2 linked regions of the Drosophila melanogaster genome follow. The protein of the gene in region 1 interacts with the protein of each later gene in a pairwise test. Each region holds a gene or a part of one and is shown in the gene's direction. Other genes may lie near its edges.

Evidence for each region.
Region 2: the proteins of Rab10 (region 1) and CG10376 interact in a two-hybrid assay, tested with the Drosophila melanogaster proteins (one large-scale study listed by BioGRID).

The regions. Positions count from the first base shown.
Region 1 is NC_004354.4:20,249,208-20,255,191, forward strand, and holds Rab10 (Rab10), read left to right. Parts: upstream 1-2,130; 5' UTR 2,131-2,423; coding exon 2,424-2,550; intron 2,551-3,030; coding exon 3,031-3,230; intron 3,231-3,300; coding exon 3,301-3,390; intron 3,391-3,858; coding exon 3,859-4,056; 3' UTR 4,057-5,484; downstream 5,485-5,984. Other genes in the region: CG17068 (uncharacterized protein), read right to left, coding at 1-1,746; CG17065 (uncharacterized protein), read right to left, coding at 5,693-5,874, 5,925-5,984.
Region 2 is NT_033779.5:18,700,042-18,705,143, reverse strand, and holds CG10376 (uncharacterized protein), read left to right. Parts: upstream 1-2,038; 5' UTR 2,039-2,230; coding exon 2,231-3,517; 3' UTR 3,518-4,538; downstream 4,539-5,102. Other genes in the region: Jwa, read left to right, coding at 1-390; CG10343 (uncharacterized protein), read right to left, coding at 808-1,234, 1,307-1,416, 1,484-1,591; CG10341 (uncharacterized protein), read right to left, coding at 4,556-5,102.

The DNA.
Region 1 (5,984 bases):
AAAACCGGCAGAAGTCATCAGCTCGCCGCACAGCACGCGCGTGGGCACTTGGACGCCCAGGATCCAAATGTTGGTGTCCACCTGGAACGTTACGCCCGCATCCGTGACGCTGGTGTTGCGGAAGTCAAATTGCCGGGTAAGGGAGCGCATACAGTACGCGCGCACCATGTCGTTGTGCGAATTTCCAGCTGCGGATCCAGCTCCTCCAGCTGCAGCGCCGCCAGCGGGCGCCGGTGCGCCTCGATCGCCGCCATCATCATCATTGGCGGGCGCTGGGACTGGCGCTCCGCTCTCGTAGCCCTCGCCGAAGCAGCGCAGTGGTGCTGGCGCAGGTGCGGCATCCGGTGGGACGCCCACCGGTTCCGGCGGGCGGATGACCAATTCCTCGCCTGCGAAGCCGAATCCCGTGCCCACGGATCCGAAACGGGGCGCAATGCCCATCATCATACCGCCGCCGGAGGGTCCTCCGCTGCGAACTGCCGGTCCCGGTCCCGGGAAACAGACGCCCGAGGGAGCGGCTCCAGTGCGATACGAGGAGGACAATTCTCTCTGGGCGTGTCGGTGGCCCGACTCGTAGAAGTTGCGCGTGCTCCGCGACACGCAGAAGCCTTCGGGCATGTGACAATCGTTGAGCGAGGGACTGGAGATCTTAATCAGGATGGAGAGGGCCTCGTGCTGCTGCAGCAGCTTGGAACGGGCCGGTCCCTCCGCGAACTGCTGCGGCGTCATGGTGAGAAAGCGAATCTTTTTGACCGCCTGCCTGAGCATGGCGCCATCGAGAATGGTGCGCTGGGCGTCCATGATGTTAATCATGTTGGCGGCGGCATCGGCCGAAGCGTCGCTATCGATGATTACCAGGTCGTCGGAGCCGGAAGCCACGTCCAGCGGCGGGGAGGCAGCCGTGGGCGCAGCTGCAGCCGCGGCAGCCGCAGAGGAAGTGGAAGCCATCCCAGCGTCCGTTTCGAAGCTGTCAGCCTCGTCGTCCTGGTGCATGTGCTGCACCATGGCCGCCACATCGGGCTCCATCTTGATCTCTTCGACCAGCACATGGCCGGCAGCATTGTCGGGCGATTCCTTGGTCAGCACCTGACCTCCGCTAGCAGTCTCTTCCTGGCCGGACTCGTTCAGGATGCCCCGCTCACTGGCAAACTTCAGCAGGCAGTTGAACAAATCCAGCTCGGAGTCGATGTTCAGGCGATTCTGGTCAAGAATGGCCATCAGGGTGGAGACCTCGATGTCCAGGAAGCTGGGATCGGACAGAACCTCGCGCGTGTTGGCCGCGATCAGATCCATGCTGCTTTGCATGAGGCGCGGCTCATCGAACAGCTTGGCAAACTCGTACGCCCGGCACGCGTTTTTCGGACTAAGATCAGCCCAAAGGAAATGGGTGCAGCGCGTGACCACGTGGGGCAGCATGTACTTCTTGGCCACGTAGCACAGCTCGCAGGCCTTGTCGAAGGACCCAATGGTGATGCGGTCCGTGTAGATGTACTCCAGCATCGCCTCGAACGCCTCCGGCTGCACGTCCGGAATGACGATGGGGTCCGTCTTATCGGGCAGGTTGCCATAGAACATTCGCTCGAACACCGGCGAAGCCATGGCCAGTAGCAGCTTGTGGCCGGCAATGAGCCGCTGGGTGGGCGAAGAACCCACCAGAAAGCGGCAGTCGGCCCACTTCTCCGAGTGGAGCAGGTACTGGCCCCGATCCTTCAGCTCGGTGAGGCCGTTTTGCCAGTCGATGTCCATTGCCTGCGGTGGATTGGCTGGGATTGGGATCACTGTAATCCAAACGTTGTTCGCTCTGATTTGTGTGAATAATCCACCTTTTTGCGAATCGGTTTGGGATTTTGCGAAATTGTTATTATTTTACGATACCGATAATTGAATGCGTGCTTACCTATCGATTGGCTGTCGTACCGATAGCAGAGGTCTGCCAAATGGCGTAATAATTAAAAGTCATGTTATGAGCTTTCTAGCAAAAATACTTAAGCATTTAAGGTATTATCAAGAGTAAACTCAAATCTTTCTTTAGATTTTAAGCTGTGATTTCAAAACTGTGACTCCATAGCAGTCGATAGTTGTATTAAACCATCGAAGTTGCCACACTGGTGAGAGCATGGATGGTATCGAACAGATATCGATTCATGTTCCAGCTCTAGTTCTAATAGCAACAATTTCAAGCGAAAATATTAATTAATTCGGCGCATTTAAGACACGCGGAGAAAAAAGAGCTAGCTCGAGATACAGGATCATTGCTTAGGCGGCCATAACCGAGAGAAAGAGCGAAAAAGGGCAGGCGCTTCAATAATAATAATATCTCTTGTCACCTGCGCCCGTGCGTTTGTGTGTGTGTGTGTTTGCGTGCGTGTGAGTGTCGCGTGTGTTTGTGCTTTGTTCTGCGAGCGTTCCGTTGCGTTTTGGAAATGGCAAAGAAAACCTACGATTTGCTCTTTAAACTGTTGCTGATCGGTGATTCAGGAGTGGGCAAGACGTGCATATTGTTCCGGTTCTCGGATGATGCATTCACGTCCACGTTCATATCGACCATAGGTGAGTAACGGGACCGTACGCACATACTTGCATCTGTCCACCCGCACCGCACACACACACACACGCGCACATGTCAGCTGCACAGCCAGGATATATATACGTGTGTGTGGGTGTGTGACTGGGCGTGGCACTGCCTTATCGACTGGCCTATGCACTGCTTGTTTCGATCGCCTGCGGAGTGGAAAGCGGAGGAGAAGTGAGCAAAATATGCCATCTATGTGGCTATGTAACTCCCTGAACTTGAACTTTTCGTACTAAACTACTGCATGTTCGCAACACGTAACACAGACGTGTGATCATTTGGTTGGAATGAATGCTTCATATACGTCTAATGTAATGAATCATCGTGATATCAATGTCGAACTGCTTTATTTTATTCAATTCCAATGTAATCGATAACACCGCCGTGACGTCATTCGGCTCAAATTGCGTTGGTTTTTCCGCACTACATTTGCTTTCTCGTTCAACCGTTTTTCTCAGGCATCGATTTCAAAATCAAAACAGTCGAGCTGCGCGGCAAGAAGATCAAGCTGCAAATATGGGACACCGCCGGCCAGGAGCGGTTCCACACGATAACCACCTCGTACTATCGAGGCGCCATGGGCATAATGCTGGTCTATGACATAACGAACGAGAAGAGTTTCGAGAACATAGTCAAATGGTTACGGAATATAGACGAGGTAGGTGTTTCCCCTGCGAGTAATGGCCTTTTCTAAAGTCTGAAATCTTCTTCTTTTTTTTTTGTTTTAGCACGCCAACGAGGATGTGGAGAAGATGATCCTCGGCAACAAGTGCGATATGACGGACAAGAGGGTGGTCAACAAGGAGCGCGGCGAAGCGGTGAGCATCCCTCATCCACAGAGTGCCCCCACAACAGCAATCACTGTCAGAGATTAGGAAATATAGTCGTAGTTAGATCGTTAAGCTCTTCTGCCATAGGAGTTGAGTTCGGAAATCGATCATATATTAGTGTGTTTAGCTTTCAAAGCCAACTGTTTTTTACAAGCGAATTCCATGCCCCTTAATAGTTTCCTATTGTTTTGATTTTTTAAGATAAGTTTGCAAATTGAACACAGCGAATATATTCGTTCTCTGACAATCAAGACGAAACTATTTAGGTGCTATAGTATGTCCGTGGTAATGAATGCAAGGGAAAATTTCCGGAGGCATACAATTTATGTTAGAACTATTCTGGTTATTTATTATGATTGTTACTCAATGATCGCACACGCCCCACGTCTGTTTGATCAATTTGTTTACAAAGCCAATAACTTGCTCCCCTTCCCCATCTCTGCCCACGTTTTTTAGATTGCCCGTGAACATGGCATTCGGTTTATGGAAACATCCGCCAAGTCGAACATAAACATCGAGCGGGCCTTCTGCGAGCTGGCCGAGGCCATTCTGGACAAGACATCAGGACGCGAGTCGGCGGAGAATCAGGAGCGCGTGATTATCGATCGCCGGAACCAGGAGAAGGCGCCGGGCTACAGCAAGTGCTGCGCGTAAAAAGCGGCGTTCTAGGCGAACGGGGCGTGGTTTGGCCCGGTTTGTGCTCAGCTGTGCGTGGGGAAGGCGGCGAAGTACGGATTGGATTGGATTAAACTGGACTAGATTGAATTGGAATGGAACGAAACGAATCGAATCGAACCGAAAGCAGTGGGGACCGGTTTCTGAAACCGCTCCGCACGGACGAAGCAAAAAACAAAGCAATAGAGCCGGGGTCATTCGCACGTAGGAAACTTACTTATTACGAGGATACGCAAAATGGAACAAGCAACAGAAACAACCTACCTAAAGTTTAACAACAAGCAACAGATATTGTAATACGAACATTTGGAAGCAACTTTACAAAACTCCGAACGATGGATGGTGGTCGGGCATGGGCCACGTTAGTTAACGCCCACACAACGTGGACGCAAGGATCTGCATATCCATGCCGCACTCGATCGGTTGACTAACGTGGATCGGATAACGAGGATCAGCTCCAGCCACTGTCCAGCCACAAGAAACGATAATGATAGCGCTGATGTCGCTGACGCAGACATAAGCAACTTTTGTAACGTACTTTTGATACACATATAGTCTTACGATTCCTGTACTCAGTCATTCGATCGCTCGCTCGCTCGCTCGTTCGCCACCACTCGCACTCCCCAGCCGCCCCACTTAGTGTTTCGTTTTTGTTTTGCGTTTCAGCCTAGATATAAATAACACCTATACATATTATACATCGGATAGTAGTATATAGCCTATACCTACTTAGCTTGCTTTCGCTTTCTATGTCGACGCCAAGCCAAGCCAGCGAGGAGTTCGATGGGGCGGGTGGTGATGTACGCCCTGCTCTGCGTCCTGGCCACTCAAGCTTTCAAGCCAGATCCTCGGCCAGAGTTGCAGTTCCATAGGGAGTTTCGAGATCGAGGTGTTCCGAAATCGTTTTTGATTATTGCCTGTGCATATATATATATATATATATATATATATATATATATATATATATATATATATATATATAGATATTTAGATATAAATATATATTTATATATATATATACATATATGAAATTACACACCGTATATCGCATCGTTTTTATGTGCATTCGCGCCCGCACACCCAATTTATATATAATATATATGTATGTATCTGTGTACACTTAAGGGGGCTTGGGTGTGCGCGCGTATATATCTCCATGCTTGTATGTAAGGACGGTGCACGCCATCAATGTAGCATTCGCATTTGCATTCGCATCCGCAAGGGAGGAGCGCCCCAAACCGAACGCACCACCTAGCGCTCGCCTCCCGTCTCCTTGTAATTTTATTCTACTCTTTTTTTTTTGTCGTGTAAACCTATTATTTGTAACTGTATATGGATTTAGTTTAGTTGTCCACACCAAATGATTTACCGATTAAAATATAAAGAACAACCTAAACCATGTCATATAAACCAGTGAGTGATTCCTTATTTCAAATGGCAAACAATCATCGTTAAACAATTCATTTGAACATCCTTGGCTGCACTCACAAGAATCTCAAGCTCCTTCAATTGGAATGTATAAGTTTAACAATTTATTTGGAGAATCTTCGGTGTAGAATCCTGCATCCTGCATCAGGTAAATAAAAACAATTGCAACAGTTGCACATTCGATGCGCTACTTGACAGTCCTATGAACACATACGCCAGCGATCCAGGTGGATAGCACCCGGAGCTGGTCGTCCAGGAGAACGAAGTCCGCGTCCGAGCCAAAGTCCAGGGTGCCCTTCTGCTTTTCGATCTTCAGGCACTGTGCTGGATGCAAGGTGGCCGCCTCGATGGCATAGACCACGGAGCAGTCTGCAAAACGGAGTAATTAATGCGAATTCTAGCGGGGATCTCGCACTCACCGGTCGCCTTCTGGAAGATCCGCACGCACTCGTCCATCGGGGCGATGCTGCCGCACAGCG
Region 2 (5,102 bases), on another chromosome or scaffold:
CCTTCAAAGATTATTACTGGTCTGCTGGTGCAGGCTTTGATCATAGGCGTTATCTGGCAGTTCTTCAGCGGAAAGTCGAAGAAGAACTTCATCGCCAGTCGTCTGACTGGTGGAAATGCCAATGCAGCAGAGCAGAATGCCCAACAGAAATGGTACATACTGGCTGGAGCTCTGCTCGGAGGTTATCTTCTTCTGCATCTGCTGAGCGCAGTGCTTTTGACGATTTTCACCGTGTTGCTACCTATTTCGCTGACCTTCATCCACGCCTCCTTGCGACTGCGAAACATCAAGAACAAGCTGACCAACAGCATCGAGAGCTTTGCTCCCTCCACGCCCATGGGCTCCTTGCTGGATGCCTTAAATGTCCGGGCCGAAGGCGTCTTTAATTAGACTGACCAGTTTGACACAGTTGGAATGATCGTTTTTATCGCTAGTTATCCTTGTCAATGTTGATCCTTGCAAAGCAAATCCCGGTATTGTAATCGATTTTGATTTTTACTTTTGTATTAAACTATGATTTTATGCAGCCATCATGTAACGCAAATATTACAAATGTCAATAAAGTTTTCCCAGGAATTTCGCTGTGTTGCTCCTCTAAAGATAATGTTATCTTATAAGGGCCAATCCTCTCACCCAAATCAAAAGTTGAAACCTTTGATAGTTAGTAGCGTAAACAAGATATAGACTTTATGATAGCCGCCCATGCAGTTACTCGCGTTTATTCTATCACATAAAATAGTATTGGCTTTTGATTTCAATTTAAGGTTTCCTCGATGTTATTACTCCTATTTTTAGTTGGTAGGCATTTTAGTTGTTCAGGGGGTGGAGAGCTGGAGCGTTGGACGCTGCAATTTCGGCGGCAGTGAGAGAATCATCGTTTTTCCCACCCGTCTGCGATAAATGCTTGACGAGGTCCACCCAATCCCAGCCACGTTCCCGGTCTCCTTTGTGATCGGTTCTCTCCCACTGCCGGCGCTTTTGCGCCTTAGTCAGGTGCTCCTTCTTGGGCTCCTTTTTCTTGGACTCCGCATCGGCATTGGGATCGGAGATCTTTAGAGCACCCACGCCATCATCCACTAACGCCACCGTGGGTGCAGATTCGGGTTGCTCTGCGGTCAATTGCTCCAGGTTGTCCTTAAGGCATTCGAACAGGGTATAGGTCATGCCACAGCCCAGCCATTGGTCCGCTTCCGTACTCAGAGCCGTTTGGATCCCTTCCTTGACAGCTGGCAGTCTGTTAAATAGGAAAGCGTAGTCTTTAGAGCTAAACCTGCTCCAATTTCCCAAGGAATAACGATCCACTTACAGATTCCTATTGTAAAACGCGTTCATGTTGATCGCTGGCGCCTCATCGGGGTAATTTTCGCCCCACTTGAGCTCGACCAAGAACGACTTGTAGTTATCCTCTTCGCCATACTAAAATTTCATTTATTATATTACAAATTATCATATTTGTGTGCTTTTTTTTATCCATGTGGCTTACTTTGTACTGAAATGTGACGCTATCTATTTCCTTGAAGTTCGTGTCGCCCTCGTATATTGACTGCAACGCCTCCCGTTCTTCCGTCTGCTGTTCCAGTGGCGTGCTCATAGTAAATTGTGTGGATTATCTTTACTGTTCAAGATTTTATCATTTTTTGTTAAACAAGACAAAAATCAAAATTTGTAACAAAAACAAAAGCAACAGTAACAATCAGCTGGCCACCGGTGGATGTGTGGCCGTTCTATCTCAAATCAGTTATAGCTTGTCTCCACTGGGTCCGCATGCGAAGCCTTAAAAAGGCTAAATAGGTGTTTTTGTTATTTATTGTAAAGGCTTGATTAAAATTATGTTTATAAATATATTCTATTATTTCATTTAAAATACTTCTGAAGTTTTTTTTATGTTTCCAAATGCAGTTAAAGGTTTTCAATCAAAATTAAAAAATAAATAAAAAGAGAAATGAAGCGTAATAGATGAAACCGAAGATGAAGGGTAAACAATCTTCGTAGGTGGGAATATCACGCATCTATTTCGATAGGCATAGCAAAGTTATCGAGCCAGTACAGTTCAGTTCGCAGCAGAATAACATAGAAGAACGCAAACAATAACAACATAAAAAAAAATCATAAAATGCACAGTGCGCGCGTGAATCATCGTTGAGCAACAATTAGCATTGATAAGCTCATGATCGCGCGGCGTCACTAGGAGCGGAAACAGGAACTGAGGCACACGCGACCCACGACAAGTATGTCGTCAGATGCGATTCCCGCATCGGAATGTGCGCACCTGATGGAATTCAAGCGATTTCTGGTCAGCACGGCGGAGAAGGCAGCAGCCGTAAGCGAGGAGGTGGTCAGCCGGAGTTGTGTAACTCGTACGGCCAATGAGACATACAAAGTGTCCGGCGAGGAGCGTCATGCCGAATTGGTCTCAGCTATTTGGAAACAACTGGAGACTCGAGGATGTCCGGCGCAGTTCCGGATTAAGCTACTCCATCGAAGCACACAGCAGCTGGAGCAGGATCTGTGCTTTGCCAAGGAGTGTGAAGTCACCGTGGAGGGTCCGCCGCAGTACGATCTTCTCAAGCTGCAGAAGTTCGTGGCCAGTGAGTTTGAGAAGTACATCCTAAAACTCACCGACAACTCGGAGGTGGATCGCCTCAAGGACTTCGCTGATGAGGCGGCGCCGGAAAACTGCGAGTGCCACCAGCAGAAAGAACCCCTGCACACATCTGCCGCTGTAAAGAACAAACCCCGCAAAATGGAGGATCGCTGTGTTTGCCTGGATCGATTTGGTGAAATGTACGAGCTGCTGGACAAGACCACCCGTTTTTTTGGCGTCTTTGATGGTCACTCTGGCTCTTTATCCGCCACCTATGCAACCAGCCAACTCCCACAACTGCTAGCCGATCAGCTTAAAGCAAATCCAGATCCTGCTGCATTCTCCCCAGACTTTTATCGCAATGCCTTCGAGTCGGCATTTTTGCTGGCCGACGAGCGTTTCACCCAGAAGAAGATCACCAGCGGCACAACCAGCGTGTGTGCCTTGATCACAAAGGATCAGCTTTATATCGCTTGGGTGGGCGATTCCAAGGCCCTTCTCGTGGGCAAGCGGACTCAACTGCAGCTGGTGAAACCGCACAAGCCAGAGAATCCGGATGAGCGCAAGAGAATAGAAACAGCTGGTGGAACAGTGCTCCACGCCCAGGGGCAGTGGCGTGTAAATGGCATTCTTAACGTGGCCCGCTCCATTGGCGACTACAGCCTTGAGGCAGTGATCGCAGAGCCGGACTTCGTGGATGTGCAGTTAAATGAGGCTCACGACTTTCTCGTACTAGGCACCGATGGCCTGTGGGATCATGTGCCCGAGTCGCTCATAATCGAAACCGTTTACGATTCCCTAGCGGATACCACAATGAAGTTGGACGACATTCCCAAACTGCTGATAGAGGCTGCCAAGGAGCGGGATTCCCAGGATAACATAACAGCGGTGGTGGTTTTGCTCAAACCGCGACATCAGATCGAACATCTTTAAAAGTTTAGGTCCGAGCAGCAAATTTTTTATATTGTTACCCGCCTTGGGATGGGTTAATTTTGTACAAATTCAAAGCAACTTAAAAGTCGTAGAAGCGAAAAGTAATCTTGAATCAACGCCCTTTGTGTGGTGGGATAACACGAAAAGTCATATCAAATTTTACGTATTCGAAAGAGAAAAATGTGCCAAATATTTTTAAACAATTCAAGAACGCAATATACACTTGATATTGGCATGCATATTGTGGGAATATAAGTAATATAATCCATTTTCTAAAAGATTATTGAACGTACGCAATCGTTTAATGTGATACAACGAAAATAAGGTATTACAAGATGATAGAACCCAAGTCCTTGCCTAATTAAAAACTAATAATATGCCCAAAGATTACTTTCCGAACCTACATTTGCAAATTAATCAACGAGAATTAACCCAAACCGGCCCATTGTTGTTTCGTTTACTTTACGTTATTGTTGTAATGTAAATAGCTTGGAGCTGTTCGGAGTGCTCCTACCTTTATTGTCACATTCTCACGTGCCTACGTGGTCCTGAATATGGATGACCCCATCCCGGTCCACTTGTTTGGTTGCTCGAATAAGCTCAATCAAAATATTTTGTGGTTGCTCAGCAGTTGAACGAAATTTTAACAAGTTAAGGCAACTGTTGTTAGCCCAATAGTATATAGAAAAAGTGCACAATTACGCACATAAATATGTTTACATATATTTTAGATTAGCCAGCAAGCATATTTATACACATTGAAGTTGTTTTCGGCCGCTTAGTGCTTCCTGCTGTACGATAATAAGCCAAGCCATGTAGCCAGGTACACATATATCGTAGTTAAACGCGTATATATTTACACCCGTAACCGTATTTAATGATCCCACACAGATTAAGTACCTTTTTATACAAATCCAACGAACCTTTCATGCATTTTATCGAACAACCCAGGACACATTTTTAACAACACACACGCAAATTGATAAAGATTTTTTATTGGAATAATAAAAGTAATTCACTGAATTGTCATACCTATCTCTAGCTGGGTGGCGGCTGACCCTGATGTGACTGGTTGTTCGGCGGAGGAGGAGCAAAGGGTGGTGGTGGCGGGTACATGTGTGGGTACATGGGCGGCATGGCGTAGGGCATTCCGTAGCCATAGTTAGGCACTGGGAAGGGCATGCCAGGATGCTGCTGAGCCATGTTAAAGTTAGCCGCTGCCTGGTGATAGTTCTGGTAGTAGTTGGAGTGCCAGCTGCCCGGATTGTAGCTTGGATGGAAGTTGTATTGTTCGTCCTGTGGCTGATTCTGGTTGTGCTGGTTAATGGAGGGTCGCTGGCTCTGGCGGAAACTCTCTCGTTGCCCACGACGTCCGCGTTGACGAGGAGGAGGAGCAACTGAAGAAGCCTTAGTGGCTGTCGTGGCCACCGAGGTTACCGTGTCCACGGAATCTGTGGAGTTTGTGCGATCCCTTTGGCGGCGCTTTCGCTGCTCTGCCCTGGCTTCTCTTTCTTCTTCATCATCCGAGTGATCTACGTAGCGGGCTGGTGGTTCTACATCGTGCTCCCACGAAGCATCCGATCCT